Oryctolagus cuniculus: one gene and its partners. The protein of the gene in region 1 binds, or shares a complex with, the protein of each later gene. Links are inferred from orthologs where the notes say so. Each region holds a gene or a part of one and is shown in the gene's direction. Other genes may lie near its edges. The genes, in order: CALCR, RAMP2, GNB1 and RAMP1.

Evidence for each region.
Region 2: the proteins of CALCR (region 1) and RAMP2 are in contact, whole or in part, in a cryo-EM structure (PDB 7TYX), measured with the Homo sapiens proteins. The link is inferred for Oryctolagus cuniculus from reciprocal best matches to the Homo sapiens genes CALCR and RAMP2. Residues at the interface, in NP_001158210.1 of Homo sapiens: Arg45, Lys46, Met48, Met49, Asp50, Gln52, Tyr53, Lys54, Tyr56, Asp57, Met59, Gln60, Trp76, Gly78, Arg126, Phe235, Leu238, Ile242, Thr246, Val250, Glu255, Lys256, Gln257, Arg258, Trp261, Tyr262, Leu264, Leu265, Phe269, Pro273; in NP_005845.2 of Homo sapiens: Trp86, Tyr93, Ser94, Arg97, Asp98, Glu101, Leu109, Pro112, Glu117, Ile120, Phe121, His124, Phe128, Cys131, Pro136, Phe138, Ser139, Asp140, Pro141, Leu146, Met149, Ile150, Pro153, Ile154, Leu156, Ile157, Leu160, Ile161, Leu163, Val164.
Region 3: the proteins of CALCR (region 1) and GNB1 are in contact, whole or in part, in a cryo-EM structure (PDB 8F0K), measured with the Homo sapiens proteins. The link is inferred for Oryctolagus cuniculus from reciprocal best matches to the Homo sapiens genes CALCR and GNB1. Residues at the interface, in NP_001158210.1 of Homo sapiens: Arg174, Ser175, Arg404, Gln408; in NP_001269468.1 of Homo sapiens: Thr47, Arg52, Phe292, Ala309, Gly310, His311, Asp312, Trp339.
Region 4: the proteins of CALCR (region 1) and RAMP1 are in contact, whole or in part, in a cryo-EM structure (PDB 9AUC), measured with the Homo sapiens proteins. The link is inferred for Oryctolagus cuniculus from reciprocal best matches to the Homo sapiens genes CALCR and RAMP1. Residues at the interface, in NP_001158210.1 of Homo sapiens: Arg45, Lys46, Met49, Asp50, Gln52, Tyr53, Tyr56, Asp57, Met59, Gln60, Gln61, Thr75, Trp76, Asp77, Gly78, Asn124, Arg126, Phe235, Leu238, Ile242, Thr246, Val250, Ala251, Gln257, Arg258, Trp261, Tyr262, Leu265, Phe269, Ile276; in NP_005846.1 of Homo sapiens: Trp59, Ile63, Tyr66, Arg67, Ala70, Asp71, Phe83, Trp84, Pro85, Val89, Asp90, Phe93, Leu94, His97, Gly98, Phe101, Ser103, Arg109, Ala110, Val111, Arg112, Asp113, Pro114, Ile118, Leu119, Phe122, Ile123, Pro126, Ile127, Val129.

What each region holds. Positions count from the first base shown.
Region 1 is NC_091447.1:42,220,555-42,226,037, forward strand, and holds the start of CALCR (calcitonin receptor), read left to right. Parts: upstream 1-2,256; 5' UTR 2,257-2,338; intron 2,339-2,519; 5' UTR 2,520-2,714; intron 2,715-5,483. UniProt on the Homo sapiens protein: G protein-coupled receptor activated by ligand peptides amylin (IAPP), calcitonin (CT/CALCA) and calcitonin gene-related peptide type 1 (CGRP1/CALCA).
Region 2 is NC_091448.1:20,145,174-20,150,080, reverse strand, and holds RAMP2 (receptor activity-modifying protein 2), read left to right. Parts: upstream 1-2,282; 5' UTR 2,283-2,387; coding exon 2,388-2,490; intron 2,491-2,953; coding exon 2,954-3,019; intron 3,020-3,388; coding exon 3,389-3,500; intron 3,501-3,605; coding exon 3,606-3,861; 3' UTR 3,862-4,023; downstream 4,024-4,907. UniProt on the Homo sapiens protein: Accessory protein that interacts with and modulates the function of G-protein coupled receptors including calcitonin gene-related peptide type 1 receptor (CALCRL) and calcitonin receptor (CALCR). Required for the transport of CALCRL to the plasma membrane.
Region 3 is NC_091438.1:163,949,242-163,954,129, forward strand, and holds part of GNB1 (guanine nucleotide-binding protein G(I)/G(S)/G(T) subunit beta-1), read left to right. Parts: intron 1-2,320; coding exon 2,321-2,359; intron 2,360-4,073; coding exon 4,074-4,180; intron 4,181-4,888. UniProt on the Homo sapiens protein: Guanine nucleotide-binding proteins (G proteins) are involved as a modulator or transducer in various transmembrane signaling systems.
Region 4 is NC_091434.1:2,452,376-2,458,020, reverse strand, and holds the start of RAMP1 (receptor activity-modifying protein 1), read left to right. Parts: upstream 1-2,166; 5' UTR 2,167-2,595; coding exon 2,596-2,647; intron 2,648-5,645. UniProt on the Homo sapiens protein: Accessory protein that interacts with and modulates the function of G-protein coupled receptors including calcitonin gene-related peptide type 1 receptor (CALCRL) and calcitonin receptor (CALCR). Required for the transport of CALCRL to the plasma membrane.

The sequences.
Region 1 (5,483 bases):
GTTCAGCCCTCTTGTGGGGCCAAAGAGCCTCATCCCTGTTCCCACTGCTGTGTCACCTTTTCTGGAATTTCCTGCCTACGGAGAACTCTCCGTGCTCCCTCCAAAACTGTCTTGACATAACTAGCATTTTCATCGGTGCAGGTTGCATATGTTTAGGTCACACACAGTTTTGGGCTTTATGATACACGCATGCCCTTTGTAGGCTGTGGGGCTGAGTTGTGGTTAAGCACCGAGACCCTCAGATCTTCAGTAGCAGCTTAGAGCCCTGCTCTCACAACCCTGGCTGTCAATGTCAGGTAGCTAGGATGCCCGAGGATAAGGCTCTTGCAGAAAAATTCCACTGTGCCTGCCCTGCCACGCAGCGCTGAGGGCAGCAGCACCGTCCACTTGGAAGTAATCTTCCTACTTTGATGCTATTTCAGTGACTTGGGCTAGGACAGGGAGAAATTCTCCATGTTTGGCCCCCAGCTGTTGACCAAACAATGTTAATCATTCTCTGCTCTTTGCACCAAAAGAAGGTAATTAATGTTCCCAAAGAGAATGTTTAAAGGAAGGCATGATCAGGTGTTGGCTGGTAGGCAGCAGCTGGGAAGCAGAGAACAAGTGAACCCAGGACAGATGTCAAAGCACAGAGATGTGTTTCTAAATCCTGAATGTGGAGGGTTTCTTCAGATGTTGTTTATGTGGCGCTGTGTGTGTGTGTCTTCGCCAGCCTGCCTCTCTCCCACATTTCTTCCTGTTAACATCATTGCCACTGAAAGCCAGGCAGGCAGGGACTGTACAATCTTTCCCTACAGTGTGGCAGTGCCTCAGGTTTGAATCCTCGCTGAGTCACACGAATCCCTCTGGGTCACCAGGCTGGAGGGGACAGGGAAGGAGGACAAACTCCCGGAATGTCTGCTGGGAGAGCTGATCTGCCTGCGGACTCCGACTCCCACTGGGTCCCCGGAAGACACAAAGAGATTCTTGTGGTCCCTCTGGGGTGGAGAGTGTGGGGTCACAGTAGAAACGGGCAGGCAGCACTGTCACCTTCAGCCACCGCCTTTCCAGGGAGGGGCCCCTGGGCTGGACGGGTGCAGGCTGCAGCCCGGTGCAGGGGACGCCTCCATCTCGCCTGCCAACCGCCCTTTCTGCTTAAGGGAATCTTGGGACCGCTGGGGGAAGCGTGCCGCTCTGCCGTCCGGCTTTCTCCCGCTCCTGTTATGTTGCTGTTAGGATTCCTTTTGCGGAGGGACAGTATTAGCAACCTCGACGGTGCGCAGCCACCTCGCGGGACAAAGAGGATGCGGCTTCCATAGCCCCCAGCACCCCTAGAAAAGAGTTAGGGACGAAGTGCCGGCTGCTGCCTCGCCGCGCCCCGCCGTGGGCTACAGGAGGTGGCGGGCGGCCGGTCCTTGGAGCCAACTTGCCCGGCTGCGCCCTGCCTGGAATCCGATTGTCCCGGGCTCCAGCTGGCATCCAGGACTTAAAGGGGGGAGAGGGGGAGGAGTCGCAGCCCCCGACACCAAGTCCCGCACCCTAGACCCCCAGCTTCCAGCGCCGTCCCCACTGCGCTCACCCACCCCAAGATACGGTGCCCCCCAGTAGCGCCCCAAGCGCAGGGCACTGTTGGCCAAACAACCTGCACCCCAGCCCTCAGCGCCCAAGTCCGGACGCTCTCCCGGGTTTGTCGGACCGCTGCAGCCGCAACTCTGACCTCTCCTGCCCCCAGCTCTCGGCCGGCCATCCTCCCGCGCCCCCACCCCACTTTCTCCAGCGCCCCGGGGCTGTCCCCTGGGTGGCCGCAGACGGAGCCGGGGTGGCACTATCTCCCGGCGGGGGTTGCTTGGCCAACTCACCACCCTCCGAAATTTGCATCCTCCGGGGAGCGGACGGGGCGCCCACAAAGCTGTCTCCAGGGACAAGTTGGAAATCTCCCAGCCCGGACCGCAGTCCCCTTTCGGGCCTCCACGGGGGTCCCTCGCCTGCTAAGAGTGGGTGCGCGCCCCGCTATCGGCCCCAGGACGCGAGGGTGAGCCCCGCCTGGCCCCCGGCCGGGCAGCGGCGGAGCTCAGCCCCATCGCGGGCCGGGGCCGGGGCAGGGGCAGGGGCTGGCGAGGAGGCGCGCAGAGCTCGGCAGCTCGCCCCTCCCTCTCCCGGGCCGGGAGGGACTGAGGGGAGGGGAGAGGCGCGGAGGGGAGGGCCGGGAGGGGCTGGAGGGCCGGGAGGGGCTGGCGCGCCTCGCTGCAGCCGCCGCCGCCTGGGCTGCGTGGGGAGGCGGGCGGGGCGGGCTGCGCTGAAGTCGGGAGAAGTTTGCGCGCAGCTTCAGAGCCCGGCGCGTGCTGCAGGCGCCCGCAAGGTGAGCCCGCTGACTTGGGACCGGAGTCTGCAAGCGCGGGGGAAACCGCCTGGCAGCCTGGATCGCAGCCTGGGCAGGCTCCGCACCATCCCTGCGGGCGGCGTTAAAGGGTCGGGGACTCAGAGCGGGGGCAGGAGAGGGCGAACTCGGACTAACGCAGTTTGCTCTCACGTCAAACTAGGAAAGTCAGCCCCTCGCTCGCTGGCTTGCGGACCTCCGTGGGGAGCAGAGAAGCGCGCAGCAGTGCCTCGCCTCGCCCTGGCGCTGCCGCCGCCTGCCCAGGAGATGGGCGCCCGTGCCTGACTTGCTACCACCACCTGAGAACGCCCTTCGCGTCCCCTGGGTTGTGCCCCGCCGCGCACTGAGAGAATTCCAGGTAAGGAGGGTCTGGAGGGGAGCGCGACTTGGAGCTTTGGGGTGTCCTAGCGGTGGGCGGCCGTGGAGGTGCGAGGCACCTTGCTTTTTTATTGCAAAGCTGCAGTTTGATTGTGGGGCTGGAGGTGAGCGTGGAGGGGTCAGCTTGGTCTCAGTTTGCCTTGATTAAAGGAAAAACAGGTGTCCTGGGAGGGTGTTATGATTTAGCGGTTTGGGATTGAGGGGTCCTCTCAGTTTCTTGGGACTTTTACCACGTTGCTGTCACCAGTTCTCCCTCGAAAGTTGTTATTTTCCAACTTACTGGGTGTGAAAATGACAAGACTTCAAGTTGTAAATTTTCTCCCAGAAAAGCTGTGTGTTCACTAGCACACGGAATCCTGGCATCCGTAACATGTGCCGTGGCGGTCCTGGGTATTGGAAAGGAGTACAGTAGCGAACGGGTTGCTTGTTAGGTCATCTTTTACTGAGAATTACTTTCCAACAATCATTTATGCATAGCAGCCATTCTTCACACCTATTAAGAAAAATATGTTGCGTGCATAGTTTCCAAAGAGTGCTCCTTTTCATGATGCTCTTTCCACGCCGGGTGAAAGACAAGCTCTACAAATTAATCCCTCTGTCCCCAACATTCATTTTCCTTGACGTCCAAGGAAATCCCAATGATTGACAAAAATCAACAATCAGATGAGATTTGTAACCTATCCTACCAGCTTTATTTAGCAAATCTGCCTAAAAAATATTCTATCTGTAAGCTTTTACCCAATGTTAAACGGCGTAAGCTAAATTAGACAGCATGGTTCCACTTGCTAATCTTGGGGAGACCTGACTGCTACCCGGCTGTGGTTACCCTGAACCAAGCCATGGCTTTTTGTTGACATTGTTGGGTGACTGAAAGTAGCATGTTCAAAATCAAGCCAAGTTTGACCATGCTTCTCCTGAATCTCACCTTTCAATAGCAGAGTGCCCAAGTTTAAGTTTGTCTTATGTGATGAAAGAAAGCAAATGTTTTATCCATGTGGACTGTTTGGCTTGCTATTAAGGACATAGTAGGAATGCAACTAGTGTTGTAGGATTTATGAAGCAAACTCTGTAAGAGCCTGTTGCTAGCCCACTGTGTGTTCAGTAAAGAATTCAGCTTTAAAACATTGAAATCACTGGCTTTCTACACTGGTATTGTAAGAACTAACATGACTACATTTGCAAAACCGTTACAGTTGAAGTCAGTATTCTTGGTGGGCACTCATTTCTACTCAGTGTTTTAAAAGAGTTCAAAACATCCATCAGCCAGGATTTGTTTTGTTTCAATGCCTCTAACCTACAGTTAATTTTAGGGATTAAAACCACCAAGAAAAATATTCAGTCATGTTATAAAATGTCCTAAGATTATTTATTGACCACACCAATGACTGAGTGTAGTAAACATGAGATCTTCATTATAACTGATGCGCAAGAGCACATAAATTACCTCAGAGTTGTCTTGCGATGCTCAAATTCACTGATATAAATATGGCTTCTGTTACCTACTTCCTGTGTTTGGGGACTGCAGATAAAATAACGGTGGATGGATAAAGATAGGAATTGCTTTAAACAGTTGAAAAGGAGGACTCAATATTATTGTAGTTGTGCTGTGGCAACTCTGTTGTTGGTGAATGAAAATATTATCTAATGTTGGCTTTTATCTGTGTAAAAGGAACATGAAATTAGGAGTCCAATGATGCTTAGGTTATCACCACCGATAACCTAAACCTGTGATCACAACTTGGGCTGCAAATTAGAGTCAATGAAAGAAATTCCATCCGTAGAAAATTCATAACTGTACCCCCAAACTAGTTAAATCAGAATATCCACGGACAGGGCCTGCAGTTTCACGTATTTCTTTAGGTGATGAAAGTATGTAACCTAGGTTGAGAACCACTGACTGAGATGGTTTCCATGAGATTTGACACCGCCTGTCAATGTTAGGGGGTCTCGGTGAAAACAAATGCCGGTTGTTACATTGCTGGTTTAATCTTTCATTCTTAAAAAATATATATGTGTGTATCTTGATGTGCAATTAGAAGAAAGAGATTTTACTTCTTTTATTGATGTTAGATGTTTAATCCGTAACAGATTCCATGAAAAACATTTTGTTGTTGTTTTTTCCAGCAAACAAGCTATTGAGTTTGAAAATTATCTGGTCATCCAGAAAATGCCTTAATAAATGAACTCTAGCTTTAAAAGAGGCTAAAAAATAATGCTTTATGAAGTGGAATTTGATTTCCTTTTGCTTAAGACCTAGATGTAGCAATGTGGAAACATCCCCTTTGGAAAAGGAAGAAGGGGGAAAATAGTATCATTCTCCTTGAGAAACTAACTTCCATATCCTGATTATGTCCTAGCTTTTCACACACACACACACACACACACAGTTTAACTCACAATGCAATTGTGAGGCAGAAGCAATCATTCTGATTTTCTATATGAAGAAATTGGGGACTCATTAGGTGAATGAATTTGCTCAAAGCTACAAGCCAAAGAAATTAAGGCTGTCTTTGAACCCAGGTTTTCTTATTCCAAGTTCAATTTCCTCGTAAAATATTTTGATGTGCACATTCATATTGTTTAAAATTTAAAGACAGCATTTGTTGTAAAAGCTGCATAAGAGTGCAGATTCTTGCACGACTCTGCTTGGGTTTGATTCCCGGCTCCATCCTTTTCTAGCTGTGTGATTTGGGCAAGCAATTTAACCTTGCCTGCCTTCATTCCCTTTGTAAAATGAGGGTTTCATTGA
Region 2 (4,907 bases), on another chromosome or scaffold:
GGGAAGGGGCCCCTGTGGCAAACAGAGGACTTCCCCAGAAGGAATCAACCCCAATGACCCCCAAAGCCAACCTTGAGTTACCAGGGTGCCCTCGGGGGTCGATAAAAACATCTTCACACCCAAGTGGCACGAAAGGTGCAACGAGGAAAATCAAGAGAAGATGCCCAGCTTCTCCAGCTGGAGGGTTTGGGTTTCCAAACCCAGGAACGAGTCTCCCTTGGAGCTCATCATGATCAGACCGAACCCCAGCCCTGCGGACAGCAACACTGCCAACCAGGTTACCTACAGTTCCCTTTCTGACTCTAAGGTCAGTCTCCATGTGAGAATGATCAGCTCCGGAGAGTCAAAGCCGGCTGCCAAGGCTACATGGCAAGACAGAGGCAGGAGCTGCCTTCCAAATCCTGCCATCCAGGACACCATCACTGCCCTGCTTAAAGCCCAGTATGCGCTTCAGCCATCTTTCATCAGGACCCCACGCTCAGCTCAATCCTAACCCACAGTGGGGCTGTGGGCTCCTGACCCCGCCCTGCAGAAATGGCTTGTTTTGCTTTCTGCCCCTCCTTGCTGCCTCCTCTTGTCTTATCACCCAGAAGTCCCCTGCTTCCTTCTGGGAAAGGGTGACCCCAGATAGGACAAAAGGGACAGATTTGGTGCCAGCCTGGGAGTGACATCGAGGCTGCACCATTGCAAAAATGACTCTTGCCGGGAGTGCTTTGGGCCACCTCCTCTGTCCCATTGTGTCCCTTGCTAACTTAGCTTTTTTTTTTTTTTTTTTTTTAATTAGACAGGCAGAGTTATAGACAGTGAGAGACAGTTCACCCCCCAAATGGCCACTGAGGCCGGCACTGTGCCAATCCAAAGCCAGGAGCCAGGTGCTTCCTCCTGGTTTCCTGTGCGGGTGCAGGGGCCCAAGCACTTGGGTCATCCTCCACTGCACTCCTGGGCCACAGCAGAAAGCCGGACTAGAAGAGGAGCAGATGGGACTAGAACCTGGCGCCCATATGGGATGCCGGCGCCAGCCCTGCTAACTTAACGTCTTAATTCTAGCTGTAAAAGAAAACTTTAGATTATCTATGGCCATGATCCCCAAAGCCTGGGATCCCGAAATGAGGATTTTAAGAGGGATCATGAAAGAGAAATTGTGGTGGGCAGGAATCAGTAAACTGGGACAACAGCAGCCACTGGTTCCAAGGGTCAGCGTCTGGGAGTAATTAGAAAAGTTTGGTGCCGACAGCTGTGCGTCTGGGAGTGGAACCTCATGGCCAAACCAGCTCCTGAGCTCGTCGGCTGCCCCAGGCTAATGAAGTCCGGTTCCAGGACACAGGGGCGGCTGTGATGTGGCAGCAGTGAGGGCGCCTGGGGTCCAGGCGCAGCCTTGCTGTGGACCAGCAGTGGCCTTAGGCCGGGCACCAAGGACACACATCTGTCCACACCACAGCGGAGGAAGGGACTGCCCCCATTTCTCACAGGAGACCACAGAGCGAAATGTGTCCTTCGAGGCCATATAGCTGGGGAGTAGGAAGACAGAATAAGGACCCCAGAGCCTCTGGATTCAAGTCCTGGGTTCTTTCCCTGTACGATGGTGATAAGAATGGACACGCTTGGTACATGACATCACCCACGGGAAGTTCTGAACGTCTCCCCTCTTCCCTACGACCTGGGTCTGGAGGGCTGCGGGCACCTTCTTTCTGGGGAGGTACTCGCCCCCGCCCCCACCGTCAGATTTGGGGATCTAGGACCCAGCAAATGCTTCCAAGGAAGGCACCAGACTTGGATTTCCCCTCTCGCGTGCACTCCCCTGGCCCTGTCTCCTCCCCGGTCTGGCGGACGGGCTGACATCAGCGGGTGGGAGTTTCCAGGGCAGAGGAACTCTGAGCTGCAGGGCTTAGCTCCAGGTGCCCCTTCCCCCACGGCCCACAGCAGCCCCAGTCCCAGTCCCAAGGCGGCTCCGCGAGGCCCTTGCAGCTCCCAGACCCTCCCTCTTCCCAGACGACCCCACCGCCTGCCCCCGAAGAGAGCCGGAGACCAGGGCCCAGGAGCCCCTGCCAGTAGACCCCGGCGAGTCCCCGGCGCCTCGCAGCTGAGCCCGAGCACCGGATCTCGGGCGTGGGGTTACGAGGGGAGCTGTCCAGCCCCGCGGGGTGAGCGGGAGGGAGCGTGGGCCAACACGGGCGAGGAGGAGGGAGCCGCGGGCTCCCGGCGCGGGTGCGGCAGCGACTCCCCCTGCAGCCCGCGGGCCCCGGGCGTCGCCTCCGCCCCCCACGTGGCCGCAGCCGTCCCAGCCCCTCCGAGGAAGCGGCGCGGCTTCCTGCGGCTCGGGCCGGGGATATAGGCGCCCCCGCCCGGGCCCGGCTCAACGCCGCCGCCCCTCCTCGCCTCGCCGCGCGATGGCCTCGCTCCGCGCGGAGCGCGCAGCTGGCGGCCCGCGACTCCCTGCGACCCGCGCCGGGCGGCCCGCGGCGCTCCGCCTCCTCCTCTTGCTGCTGGGCGGTGAGCGCGGCGCCCCGGGGCCCCGCGGGAGGCGCGGAAGGCTAGGGAGGGGAGGGGGCTGGACGGCCGAGGCGGACGCGAGCTCTGCGGGGTGAGCAGTGCGTCCTGCGGACGGTCCCCGGCCCCACCTCGGGGCGGCCACAGCACGAACTCTGCTCCTTGCTCGGGGAAAGCCGGGGTGAGGGCAGGGGCCCGCGGACACAGTCCTGGAGGGCTGGGCTGGTGAGGGGGGTGTGCGTACGCGCGCCTGGGCCTGGTTGTGCGTGGGCAGGAGCTCGTGCCACCCCTCCTTTCCAGGCGCGGAGGCATCCCGCGGGGGCATCCCTCGGATGCACAGACGGCTCCTCTTTCTCTTAAACCGGCGCCTGGATCTCCAGGGGTCGCAGCCTACATGCCCCTCCCCCGCAGGCGCCACTGCCTGCTTCACCACCTCTCCACCCTCCTCTCCCGCTTCTTCCCACAGCTGTCCTTAAACCCCAGGAGTCCCTGGCCCAGACTCTTCCCACCCCGGGCAGCTTGGAGCCAGAAGGTGGGTGCCCAGGGGCTGTGGGAGGGAGGCCTAGGGCCGGGAGGAGAGCCAGGTCAGTGCCTTTCCCATAGGCACCCCCCAGCCCCCTGCTGCCCCACTCTGCTGCCGGCTGGGCCCCCGTCACAGGTGGGTGGGAAGAGCCCAGGAAAAGGTGCACGTGGAGATTGTCAGGCTTCGATGAGAAGTGCTGCCCAGATGGAAGGCACCAGATTGCTCAGGCAGGCCGCTCTGCGAGGGGAACTGGCAGAGGGGTTCCCACGTCTGAAAACAAGGGTCGTGGGTTCCACCTAGACAGTCCCTGGGCCAGAGGGTGTGTGGGGGTCAGAGGGGTGGCAGGCCATGGTCACTGAGCAGCGTCTGTCCCCACAGGGAGGACGGGGGAGGAGAACTACGAGACAAACGTCCTACTTTGTTGGAACGACTATAAGGTTTACATGGACTCTATCGAAAAGGATTGGTGCGATTGGGCCGTGATTAGCAGGTAGGGGCCCTCCTGGAGGGCGGCCCAGGCGCGCGGGGGTGGGGGGTTGGACTTTGCTGCTGGGTGGGCCTGCCTCTCCTTCACGCAAGCCCTCCCTGCCCCCAGGCCTTACAGCGAGCTGCGAGACTGCTTGGAGCAGAACGCCGAGGAGTTCGGCCTGGGCTTCCCCAACCCCTGGGCAGAGAGGATCATCTTCGAGACTCACCAGATCCACTTCGCCAACTGCTCCCTGGTGCAGCCCACCTTCTCCGACCCCCCGGAGGACGTGCTGTTGGCCATGATCATAGCTCCCATCTGCCTCATCCCCTTCCTCGTCACGCTGGTGGTGTGGAGGAGTAAAGACAGCGAGGCCCAGGGCTAGGGTGGCACAGCCTTCCCCATGCCCTGCCAGCTCTCGCCCTCTCCCCCCCTCCCCACCCTCTTCCCTCGGTCCCAGCCCCTGCAGGTCCCCGGTAGATGGAGATGGAAGTCGGGTGGGGCCATGGCACAAGTTCTGAATCTAAATAAAAACTTCTTTTGGGTACAATGTCCCCCTTCCCATCCTAGCGGGGCCTGTTCGCTTCCCGGAGCCTCTGCCACCCCCACAGCAGGCCGCAGAACTGGGCGAGTCGGAGGGCTTCATGGCTCTGTTCACCCCCCCATCCCGCCCCCACCCTGGATGAACGCCCTGCCCCATACTCCTTCCTCCCAGGGCAAGGCCTTTCCTGCCTCGCTCCAAACCCAGCACCAGGAAACAAGCAGGAAAAGACTCCCTTCCGGTCTGCACGGCAGCGGGGGGCGATGCAGGAGGAGGGGCAAGGGAGAAATCTGCCATGACTCCTGCAGCCAGGGAGGCAGCCCCCCACCCCGGGCGGTCCTGACTCGTCCCTGCATGCCTGTTTATTCTGAAGGCTTGGGAAGAGGAACCCGGACCTAAGCACCAGGAATCTATCGCTGAGACCTCAGAACGGAGGGCAGAGGCAGTGGGGACGTCCTCGGCAGGGTCCACCCCTTCCCACTAGGTCCCTGGCCCTCATCCTACATTGTCCTGGATGGGGTGTGGCCTACATGGTGGCCACACACTGCCCCCTGGTGTCCACTAAAGCCAAGACTCAAAAGATGTGTGTGACCTGGAAGCAGCTCAGGGCTGAGGCCGCCGGGCCCTGGGTCAGAGAACTATTTGTTCTCTCCATAGCATCCTCTGGTTCTCCCCCACCCTGTGTGTGGGCCTCTGAGACATCCCAATCAACCCTCTGACCTCTCTGCAACTCCCGGCTTCTGCACATGCACACCAGGTTCTCGGGGGAACCTTCACCTCCAGCCCTCCCTGGGACGCACCTGTCAGGCCACCAACAGCATCTGCAACAGCTTCATTCTCCATGGAGAATTGCTCCTTAGTATCGCTGATTCTTTGTGGCATCCCCCGTC
Region 3 (4,888 bases), on another chromosome or scaffold:
GACTCGAACCGGCACCCATATGGGATGCTGGCACTGTAGGCGGCAGCCTTACCTGCTACACCACAGCGCTGGCCCCCCTAAAACTTTTTTAAAGATACCAAGAAGGGGCCGGCACTGTGATGTAGCAGGCCAAGCCTCCACCTGAGGTACCAGTTTCCCATATGGGTGCTGGTTTGTGTCCCGGTTGCTCCTCTTCCAATCCAGCTCTCTGCTTATGGCTTGGGACAGCAGTGGAAGATGGCCCCCAAGCGCTTGGGCCCCTGCACCCACGTGGGAGACCCAGAAGAAGCTCCTGGCTCCTGGCTTTGGGTTGGCCCAGCTCTGGCCGTTGCGACCATTTGGAGAGTGAACCAGCAGTTGGAAATCTCTCAGTTTCTGTGTCTCTTCCTCTCTCTCTGTAACTTTGCCTTTGGAATAAAATCGATAAATCTTAGGAAAAAAAAAAAAAAAAAGCCGAGCAGCAGAGCTTCCCCACAGGGCTTGGCCAGACTGCGGCTGGGAGCTCCATCTGGGTTTCCCGCGTGGGGGGCAGGGCCCTACGTTCTTGGCGATTGTCTGCCTCCCAGGCGTGCTAGCAGGGAGCTGGTCAGGAGCAGGATATGAGACTTGACCTGGCAGCTGGCTGTGGGACGTGGGCCCACACAGCGTCTGACCCCCGCACCACGACGGGCACCCACTGAGGCAGCCATTTGTGTTGACTCTGAAGGTGCTGTCTTAAACTCTAGTGTGGTTTGGACTTTTTTTTTTTTTTTTTTTTTGACAGGCAGAGTTAGACAGTGAGAGAGAGAGAGAGAGACAGAGAGAAAGGTCTTCCTTCCGTTGGTTCACCCCCTAAATGGCTGCTGTGGCCGGCGCTGCGCCGATCCGAAGCCGGGACCCAGGTGCTTCCTCCTGGTTTCCCATGCGGGTGCAGGGCCCAAACACTTGGGCAACCTCCACTGCCTTCCCGGGCCACAGCAGAGAGCTGGACTGGAAGAGGAGCAACTGGGACAGAATCTGGCGCCCCGACCGGGACTAGAACCCGGGGTGCCGGCGCCGCAGGTGGAGGATTAGCCAAGTGAGCCACAGCGCCGGCCAATAGTTTCTTTATATTATTAATTCACAGATATCCCCACTGGCTTCATAAAATAAAAATTTACAGTAGGGAAGTTTGCCCCTAAAATCGGATCTCCTGGGAACACCCAGCTGCAGTGTCAGCTCACAGCAGCATGGAGACCTGTGTCTTACTGGACATCGCCCTGAGTGCCTCTGAGGGGCTGCCCACACTCCTGTTGTGAGCCTTTAAAGCTGTGTTCTCATTTTACTGCATCTAGTGTACAGAGGTCTTCAGGAAATTCATAGAATATATGTACTATAAAATCACGCCTGGGTTTCAAAATATTGTGCCCAAATTAGCTTATCTTTCAGTTCCATTTTTCTGTTGATTTTTGAAGTTCTCTTTTACATATTGCTTTTTTATTTTTATTTTTTAAGATTTATTTATTTATGTGAAAGGCAGGGTTACAAGAGGCAGAGAGAGAGAGAGAGAGGTCTTCTATCCGCTGATTCACTCCCCAAATGGCTCCAACGGCCGAAGCTGGGCTGATGCAAAGCCAGGAGCCAGGAGCTTCTTCCAGGTCTCCCACATGGGTGCAGGGGCCCAGCAGAGAGCTGGATCGGGAGTGGAACAGCCGAACAGCCAGAACTCAAACCCACGTCTACGTGGGATCTGACACTGCAGGTGGTGGCTTTACCTGCTACACCATAGCGCCAGCTCCCTATATCTCCCTATTTATAAAAATATATGTTCATTTAAGATTCCACACTTGTCTAGTTCCTTGTTCACTTGATGTTAGTGATGGCGTGTCCTTCCGCAGAGTGTACCTGCATTTCGTCGTTTCGTAGATAAGAAAGCAGATAGAGCCAGGAAGAAGTCAGAAGGTTTCATCTGAATCTGCAGTCTGATCAGACGCCTTGCTCTTTTCTGTGAAATTTAAATCCAACAAAGTAATTATTGTCCCGAAGAGATTTTTGGGCTGGTCATTAGGTCCTTGCTGGACCGCTCTCCCTGGGCGCCAGCCTCCCGTCCTCCCTGGGTCAGCTGTGCAGGCGCTGAGCCAGCGTGGTTGCTCAGAAGCGCCGAAGGCCAGGGCAGCCCCGCGCCCAGGGGCCCTGCCCTGGTGCCGTCCCCGTGCCGGGTTCCACGGTCGCTGTGTGTGAGTGGCCGAGTGCGGTGGATGGTGGGTGTTGGGGGGGGGGTGCTTTCCTTCCACAGTGACGCTGTGAGGCCCCAGGTGGCCCCTGCCTGGACACCGCTCACCTCTCTTGTGTTGCTTCCTAGGATGCTAGGAAAGCATGTGCAGATGCAACGCTCTCTCAGGTAAGAGCCGGTGTGAGCCTGGGCCCTCCGCAGTGAGCTCTGCCCGTGCAGCTGCCAGACCACTGCGGGGCACTGTCTTGCGGAGCCGTCCAGACGTGGGAGGAGACAGGGGTTCTGTGTTCGCGTCGTCTCTTCAGCCCGCGTAGTGCTCCCTGCCAGGGCAGAAGACTGCTGTCTCAGTCAGGCGGCGTGTCGCTGCCTTCGTGGCCAGTCGGTCCAAGAACTGGACTCCGCAGGCCGGCCTGACAGCTCCCCAGACACTTGAACGGCAGCTCCATGGCTCCTTGTGTGCCCAAAAGGATCAAAAGCCGGCGTTCAAGCGGGTGTTCAGTAGGATACGCACACCGAAACCCGTGGGTGTCTGAAGCCTCGTGTACACAGACCCTACAGAGGGCATCGCTGCGGACTAATAATGGAATATCATAAAAACAACACTGCAGGAAATCTGTGCATATGATCTGTCTCAAAAAATTAATCTTCCTGTACTCACACTTGTGACAACAACGCCTGTGCGAGGAGATGCAGTGAGGCAGACGACACGGGGCTGGGACGCAGCTTGGGTGACCACAGTGGGCACAGCGCGGTCCCACGGGCCGAGGGCTGACCACACCCCAGACAGGACCAGCAGGCCGGAGTGGATGTCATCCTCCTGCTCAGACGGCTCACAACTTAAACTTAGGAATTGTCCGTATCTGAAATGTCCTATGTAATAGTTTCAGACTGCGATTGACCACAGGAAACTGAGCCATGCATAGCGAAACCAGTTAAAGGAGGATGGCTGTACAGTGTTCATATCGCCGCTCACACAGCCAAGGGAGGAGACCATCCAGCTCTCCATAAGTGGATGAGCGTACAAACGTGTGGTGGTGTGTTTGCACGGTGGGATATTACTCAGCCGTGAAAGGGAATGCAGCCACGTGTAGCTCTGTGTGTATGAAATACCCAGAATGGTTAAGTTAAAGACAGGAGATTGGTGGCTGCAGGGATCGTGGGGGCGAGAGGAGGAGGTGGCCGCTGGGTGGGTGGGGAGGCGAGCAGTGGTGAGGGCTGCACAGCATGCCCTGAGTGGGCACTGTAACAGAGTTTTAAAAAGTTAAAGAATCGGACAGAATAGTGAAAGAAAAGTTAGATTCACCCTCTGCAGGTGACTTGGTTCATGAGGCGATCCAGACACTGAAGGGGATGCGCTGTAAGAAGGAATTCTTGCAGCGTAGAATCACAGCTGTCAGTTCTCGGGCGCACTGTGGACTGTCCATTTTTTAAGACTCATTGTTGGGTGTGCTTTGCCCATTTGCCAACCTGGAGGCATTGCTGTCGGTGTCTGCCCTGTGGGGTGGGTGCTGGCGTGCAGACACCGATGCTGAGTGTTGTCCAGGCCCACACGTGGCCTGAGGTAGGAGCAGAGCACTAGCTGCTGGAGGCTGTGCCCGTGGTGGCCCCGGGCCCTGAGACAGATGGGCGGAGCTGGAGGCTGTGCCCGTGGTGGCCCCGGGCCCTGAGACAGAGGCGGAGCCGGGCTGCCGTGTGTGTGCACGCCAGGGGGACAGGTGTGTCCTCACGCCCCGTGGAAACGGCAGCCCTGTTCAGAGTCCCGAGGGCCCTGGTGCCCCTGAAGAGCTGGAGGATGGCTGGGCCCTGCTGGGTGGGTGAGGAGGAGGGCTCTGGGAAGATCGTGTGGTCACAGATGTTAACCTCAGGAACCTTCGTGTTTAAGATCACAAACAACATCGACCCGGTGGGGAGGATCCAGATGCGCACCAGGAGAACGCTGAGGGGGCACCTGGCGAAGATTTACGCCATGCACTGGGGCACGGACTCCAGGTAGGCACAGGCCACGGCGGCAGCCCGTGCCGGCTACGTCACCGAGGCTCTCTTGTCTGGGAAGGTCGCCCGGACTCATTTGCTGTACTTTGTAGCGAGCAACACGAGGAGGAGGAGTCAGATGAGCAGGCCAGGCGTGGCCTGTGCGCGGGTCTGCGCTCACCTGGCCCACTCCACTCTGCTGTTTCCTCTCCGCTCCAGGCTGGCTTGTGTGGCTCAGGTTCTCCTCCCTGGAAAACCCCACCTTCCCTCCGCCCCGCTGTGCTCTGCCGTGGCCTTGGGAAGTGGCCTTCCTCTGTCCCTGTGTTCTGCACTGCGCGGCCTGTTCTGGTGGCTGCTGGCCCTCCTGTGATTTCAGCGCCTGCTCCGGGCTGCGGGAGGCCCAGAGAGAGAGCCTGAGAGCAGCAGCCTGTGGGGTGGTGCTGTGCCTGGGTTTCTGTGGTTGGGGCCCCCAGCAGGTGCATGGGTGTGTGTGTTTGCTGCGGCCATCACCCCTCACCCGGTCTTTGTGCCTCTCTGTGGTGTGTTCATTGTCCCAGGCACAGCCCCTCGAGGCTCCTGTTCTTCCTCTTCCTGGGATTCTTAACCTCCCGTCCACTCCCCTGTCCCCTGCTCACCCTCTGCTCTGCCTCCACCCTGCCTCTGCCCACACCTGCCTTGGGCTGTGTGCCTTCCCTGTGGGCCACATCTGTTAAGCTCTCTTTTCCT
Region 4 (5,645 bases), on another chromosome or scaffold:
GTGTAGCCACCACGTGTACGGTGAGCACTGTGTGTGTGTAGCCACCATGTGCACAGTCAGCACCGTGTGTGTGTAGGCACCACGTGCCCAGTGAGCACTGTGTGTGTGTAGCCACCATGTGCACAGTCAGCACCGTGTGTGTAGCCACCACGTGCACAGTCAGCACTGTGTGTGTGTAGCCACCATGTGCACAGTCAGCACTGTGTGTGTGTAGCCACCACGTGCACAGTCAGCACTGTGTGTAGCCACCATGTGCACAGTCAGTACTGTGTGTGTGTAGCCACCACGTGCACGGTGAGCACTGTGTGTGTAGCTACCACGTGCACAGTCAGCACTGTGTGTGTGTAGCCACCATGTGCACAGTGAGACCTGTGTGTGTAGCCACCACGTGCACAGTGAGACACTGTGTGTGTAGCTACCATGTGCACAGTGAGACGCTGTGTGTAGCTACCATGCGCACAGTGAGACGCTGGGCTGTGTGTAGCCACCACGTGCACAGTCAGCACTGTGTGTGTAGCCACCACGTGCACAGTGAGACACTGTGTGTAGCCACCACGTGTGTGTGTAGCCACCATGTGCACAGTCAGCACTGTGTGTGTAGCCACCATGTGCACAGTCAGCACTGTGTGTGTAGCCACCACGTGCACAGTCAGCACTGTGTGTGTAGCCACCACGTGCACAGTCAGCACTGTGTGTGTAGCCACGTGTACAGTGAACACTGTGTAGCTACCACGTGCACAGCCAGCACTGGGCCGTTCTACAGCGGAGCCACTGTTGGCCCTGATGCGCTGTAGGTGGGGGCCCCCGGAGGAATGGATCCCCATGCTTCCAGCTGCCAACCAGAAATAACACACAAATTGAACAGAGTCTCACCGGGTGGGGTCTTCAACTCGGGGTAAACAGTCTGCTCCGCCTTGCCCCTCGGAGCAGCGCAGACCCTCGGTAGTACTGGCTACCTCGTCCCGGGCCGGGCACAGACGTGAAAGGACAGGAAGTGGCGCAGGGCTCTGGGTCACCTCAGCATTCTCCAGAGAGCGTGAGCTTCCAGGCTCCAGCGTGAACCTGACAAGGGAGCCTGGCCCTGTGAGGAGCCCGTGCCTGTCCAGGGGCCCCCACGCCTCCTGCAGTTACCCTTGGAGAAGTTCCTGGGAGGAATCCAGGTGCAGCCGCAGGGCGAGCAGACGGGGCCCAGGGGAGGGGCAGCTGGGTGTGGACGGGGTCTGAGCCAGGACGAGGTCGCCTCCACTCACATCACCTAGCGTAACTCAGGTGGACCTGTCCTCGGGCCACACGGGCCGTGTTCACGCCCTCTGGCCATGGCGTGGTCTCTGGACCCCAGGCCTGTGCTGTAGCCTGTGGTCTCTTCAGGGATTCCCCCCCCCCCAGTCCTCAAGACCAGGGGGTGCAGCTTGTCGCGAACGTGCCTTTGTGTCCTTACTCCACGGCGGAGGGCAGTGCCCCCGTGCTGGACGGTCCCTGCGGCACAGCAGTCCCCCACTGGATGCACCAGCTGAGGATGTGGGCCTACCTGGTGGGATGTGCCCCAGGGCTCAGGCGGAGGGGCTGCTCAGGTCGGGAACGGGTGCCCTCCACCACCGTCGCCCCCAGGAGACTTGGGGCCCCCGGGCACACGCAGGCGTGCCCACCCCCAGGGAGTGCCCGCCCTGCCAACCTGGGCTCAGAGGGGACCGAGGGCCGCCTCGCTGTGCGCTGCTCTGAGCGCCCGGCAGGTGGCAGCAGCCCCTCGGCGGAGGAGCGGGGTCGGTCAGCCATCCCCTGCCCCGCGCCGGCTGACCCACGGAGACGGCGGGCATTGCACTGGAAGCTGTGACATTAACCAGTGGCCGCGAAGGAACGCTAACTCGCTTTCACAGGGTGTTGGGGAAGGAGCCACCGCTAAGCCAGCGGTGAATGCGGGGTTGAGGTCTCCCGCACTGCCCGCCTCTCAGCCCTGCTTGCAAAGGGCTGCGCGGGTGACCGCCACCCGGGTGGGTTCACGCTCGCGCCGGCCACCACCAAGCGAGGCGTTACCTCTCTACTGGAGGCCCTGGTCCCTGCGTCACCCTCAGCGGCAGGTGCAACCCCGGCCCCCCCAGCCCCTTGAAGAGCGCTCCCTGTTCCCTAGGGCCCAGGGCCTCTGCGAGGGCGCGCCCCTCCGCACCCCGCAGCTCCGGCTTCTTGTGCGCGGGGCTCGGCCAGCGCCAAGGCTGCTGCTGCCCCCGGGCGCCCCGTGCCCGCACCTGGAGGGGCAGGGAGCGCCTGACTGCGGGCAAGAGTGACCAGACCCTGCGAGGGGAGGGCGGCGAGGTGCCCGGAGGGTTCTGGAAGCGCACTGCCCCCCGCCCCGCCACCCAGGTTTCCCGATTGTTAATTTGGCGAACTTTTCCGGAAGGCGGCAGCGTTTTCCTGGTTCTGGGCGACTTCCACCCGGCAGGTGCTGCCCGCTCCGGCACCCACCCCGAGTCGGGCCGCGCGGCCGCCGCTCCCGCCCCGCGCTCCCGCCCCCGGCGGCGTCTTCCCGGGGCGGGCGCCGCGGCGGGCTCAGGACTCGGCGGGGCGCGCCGCGGGCGGACTCGGCTCGGCTCGCTGCGCGCCATGGCCCCGGACCTGCGTGGCCTCCCGCAGCGCGGCCTCTGGCTGCTTTTGGGTGAGTAGGGGCCGGGGTCGCGGGCCGGCCCGGCTCCCCCGCGTCGAGGGCGGAGGAGGGGGTCGCACGCCGCGAGCACGCCGGCTCAGGCTCGCGAACGCCGGCCGCCGCCTCGCCACGCGGGGCCCGCGGCGGAGGTCCCCCAAGCCGGGCCGTCCCGGGGTGCGGGGCAAGGAGACGGGCGGGGCAGGCGGCTGGGCAGGGGTCTGCGCCCTCCCGGCGGGGGTGGGGGTGGGGTGGAGGAGGCTGAAGGGCAGCTGCCACTTGGCCCCGCACGCTGGGGAGCGCCCCTGCTCCCCACCCCCACCCTCCGCGCAGGCTCCCTGGGGCTCGGGTGTGAGCACCTTGCAGACTGAGTGAGGGCCACGGCTGTTTGGAAATTAGTAAAAACCGGTCATCTGACTGTCACATGCCGCTGTTTCTGATTTGCTAAGCGGTGTCCCCGCTGAAGCCAGGCCAGCCGCCTGTCCTCTGGAGGCAGAGCCACGACTTGGTGTTCGCTCCCTGACTCGGGCGGAGACCCCCGGTGCGGTGGGGTGGCCGGGCTTGGAGAGGCTGCGGGAACCTGCGGGGATGGGGCGAGGGATCGTCTTCCCTCCGCCGGGTGTCCTGATGCACACATGCAGAGCTCCCAGCTGTTCGAGCTGGTGGATGTGTCCCCTTCCGTGTGTTCCTCTTACGGACTGGACGGCACCGGCTACTCCGTCCAGGGCTCCCTCCCCAGAGCTGTGATGTTGCTGTGGGCGCCTGCTGTGCCGCTGGAGCCTGGCGTGGGAGGAGGGGGCCTGCCCGCCCTGCTCTAGCTGAGCCCCTGGGGGCAGGAGAGGCTGCCCAGGCCAGGAGGAGCCGCCGGCCGTAACCAAAGCCTGCCCCGGCTTCCGTGTGGCCATCTCAACGCCGGCCTTGGCACTTGAGCGCTTCTGCCGAAGTCACAGGAGAAGGAGATCTTGTAGTGATCCCGTCCTCCGTCGGCCTAGACGTGGAGTCGGCCGTTTTAGTGCCCTCGGAAGCCAGCGTAGCTCTGTTAGCAAGGCAGAGAATGAGTTGTGTGGTTTTTACTTAAACGCGTAAATGTCCTTTGCTGGTGTCCGGAGGCGGTGCCCTCTATGGCTGGTACAAAGAAAGCCCTGTGTTGGGATCACACAGACTTTCCCTGGTGACCAGAGAGCGGTTGCGCTCTCCTGCCAGGCCAGAGCCGTCATCGTCACGTCCTGAGTGGCCTGGCCAGTGTCACGTCTCAGAAGAACACACGGAGCTTTGTGAGGTCACCCGTGAACAGATGCACTTGGAACGCGGCTGCACACGCACGCTGTCACCCTCCGGTGCCATAGCACGGCCACATGTCCTTGGAGGTGACCTTGGCTGCCTGGGATGGCGACCCGGCATGGGCCGTGTTGGTCCCCAGCCTTAAGGATTTTATAGCCAAGCTGTTCCTGTCCAGTCTGCTGCCCTTCTGCGTGTCCTCTGTGCCGGGCCCCTCCGTGCTCTGAGAGTCCTGTACACGCGTGTGTTCCTGGAAGGCTGATGGGCTCGTGTGTGGGGAAGACTGTGTGTGACCACCCTGAAGCCATTCCAGGCGGGCTGGGGTCACTCCATCCCGGCCTCGCGTGCGGAGCCTCCCGGACCCTCGGGCGGGGGCCGGGGTTTGTGTGTTTGTGGGTTTTTGGAACGGTTGGGACATTGAAACACACGATCGTGCGACCATGAGGAGAGCTGGAAGTTCCGGGACACCCAGGAGAGGCGGTACGCGACGCCTCCCGTGTCCGGCTGCTCTGCGTCCCGACGCGGTCGCGACCCTGGCGTCCGACCCTGGCGCTTTCTCATTTGCCAGTCAGGTTTGTTTGCCCCTGTGTGTGCAGCTGCAGGGAGAAACTCCCAGAGGTTTGTCTTCTTCCGTGGCTCACGCCAACCAGCATGCGTGTTGTGAGCCTGGACCTGGGGGCGCGCCCCAGTCCCCCGTGTGCACGGTCAGTGGCACCGGTGACACCAGGAGCCAGCGCTCTGGGTGGAATCCTGGCTGTGAGCAGATGGTTGGCCGGGCCTGCTGACTCCCTTCCCCGGAGGGAATGCACCGGTTTCGGGCAGATGCCGGCCAGGGCCACATAGGGCTGGTGCTGGGCCCAGCGCGTGCTGGTGGTCGGCCCTCCCTGCAGTGGCCGCACTGAACACTTCTCTGCTGGGACTCCAGGGAAGTGGTCTCTTCTCCACCGGGCCTGAGGTCTGAGCCCCAGGGGGCCGCCGTTCCTGACCCAGCAACGCTGATGGAGCCGCCCCTACAGGGAGCCCATGGGGGGCGCGTCTCCAATCCCGGGAACCCAGGCTTTAGGGCCTCCTGTCCACCCGGTGCAGGCATGCAAGGCTTGGAGCCCCGGCAAGGGCAGGCGCGGGGGCAGTGGGGACCTGCGGAGGGGGGGGGGGACGCTCTCCAGAAAGCTCAGGGAGGCCCTGCAGAGGAAGGGCCGTGAGAGGGCAGGGGGAGACCAGGCAGAGCCAGGGCAGGGGAGACCAGACAGAGCCAGGCAGGGGGAGACCAGGAGAGCTCGTGCAGGGGGAGACAGGAGAGCCGGGGCAGGGGGAGACCAGGAGGGCCGGGGGCAGGGGGAGACCAGGAGAGCCGGGGCAGGGGGAGACCTGGAGAGCAAGGGCATGCAGAGACCAGGAGAGCCAGTGCAGGGGGAGACCAGGAGAGCGGGGGCACCGGCCCTGTGCCCTGTGCCCCCACGTGGTGCAGAGAAGCTGAGCAGGGACCGGCGAGGGCAGCCTCCACTCTTAGTCTTTAACCACCAATGGTCGTCCATTAACCATTGACAACTGGCCTGAGGCCTACGACCAGTCCCTGAACGCGTGGGCCTTTGGCGTGATGACCCAGACCACAGCAGCCCTCTGCGTGGGAGGGAGCGTGGCAGAGCGTAGAGTGCTGATCCGCGGCTCCTGGCCTCTTCCTGACACGCCACACCCGTGGCTCACACGTGTCATGACCAGCGCAGGACAGCAGCCA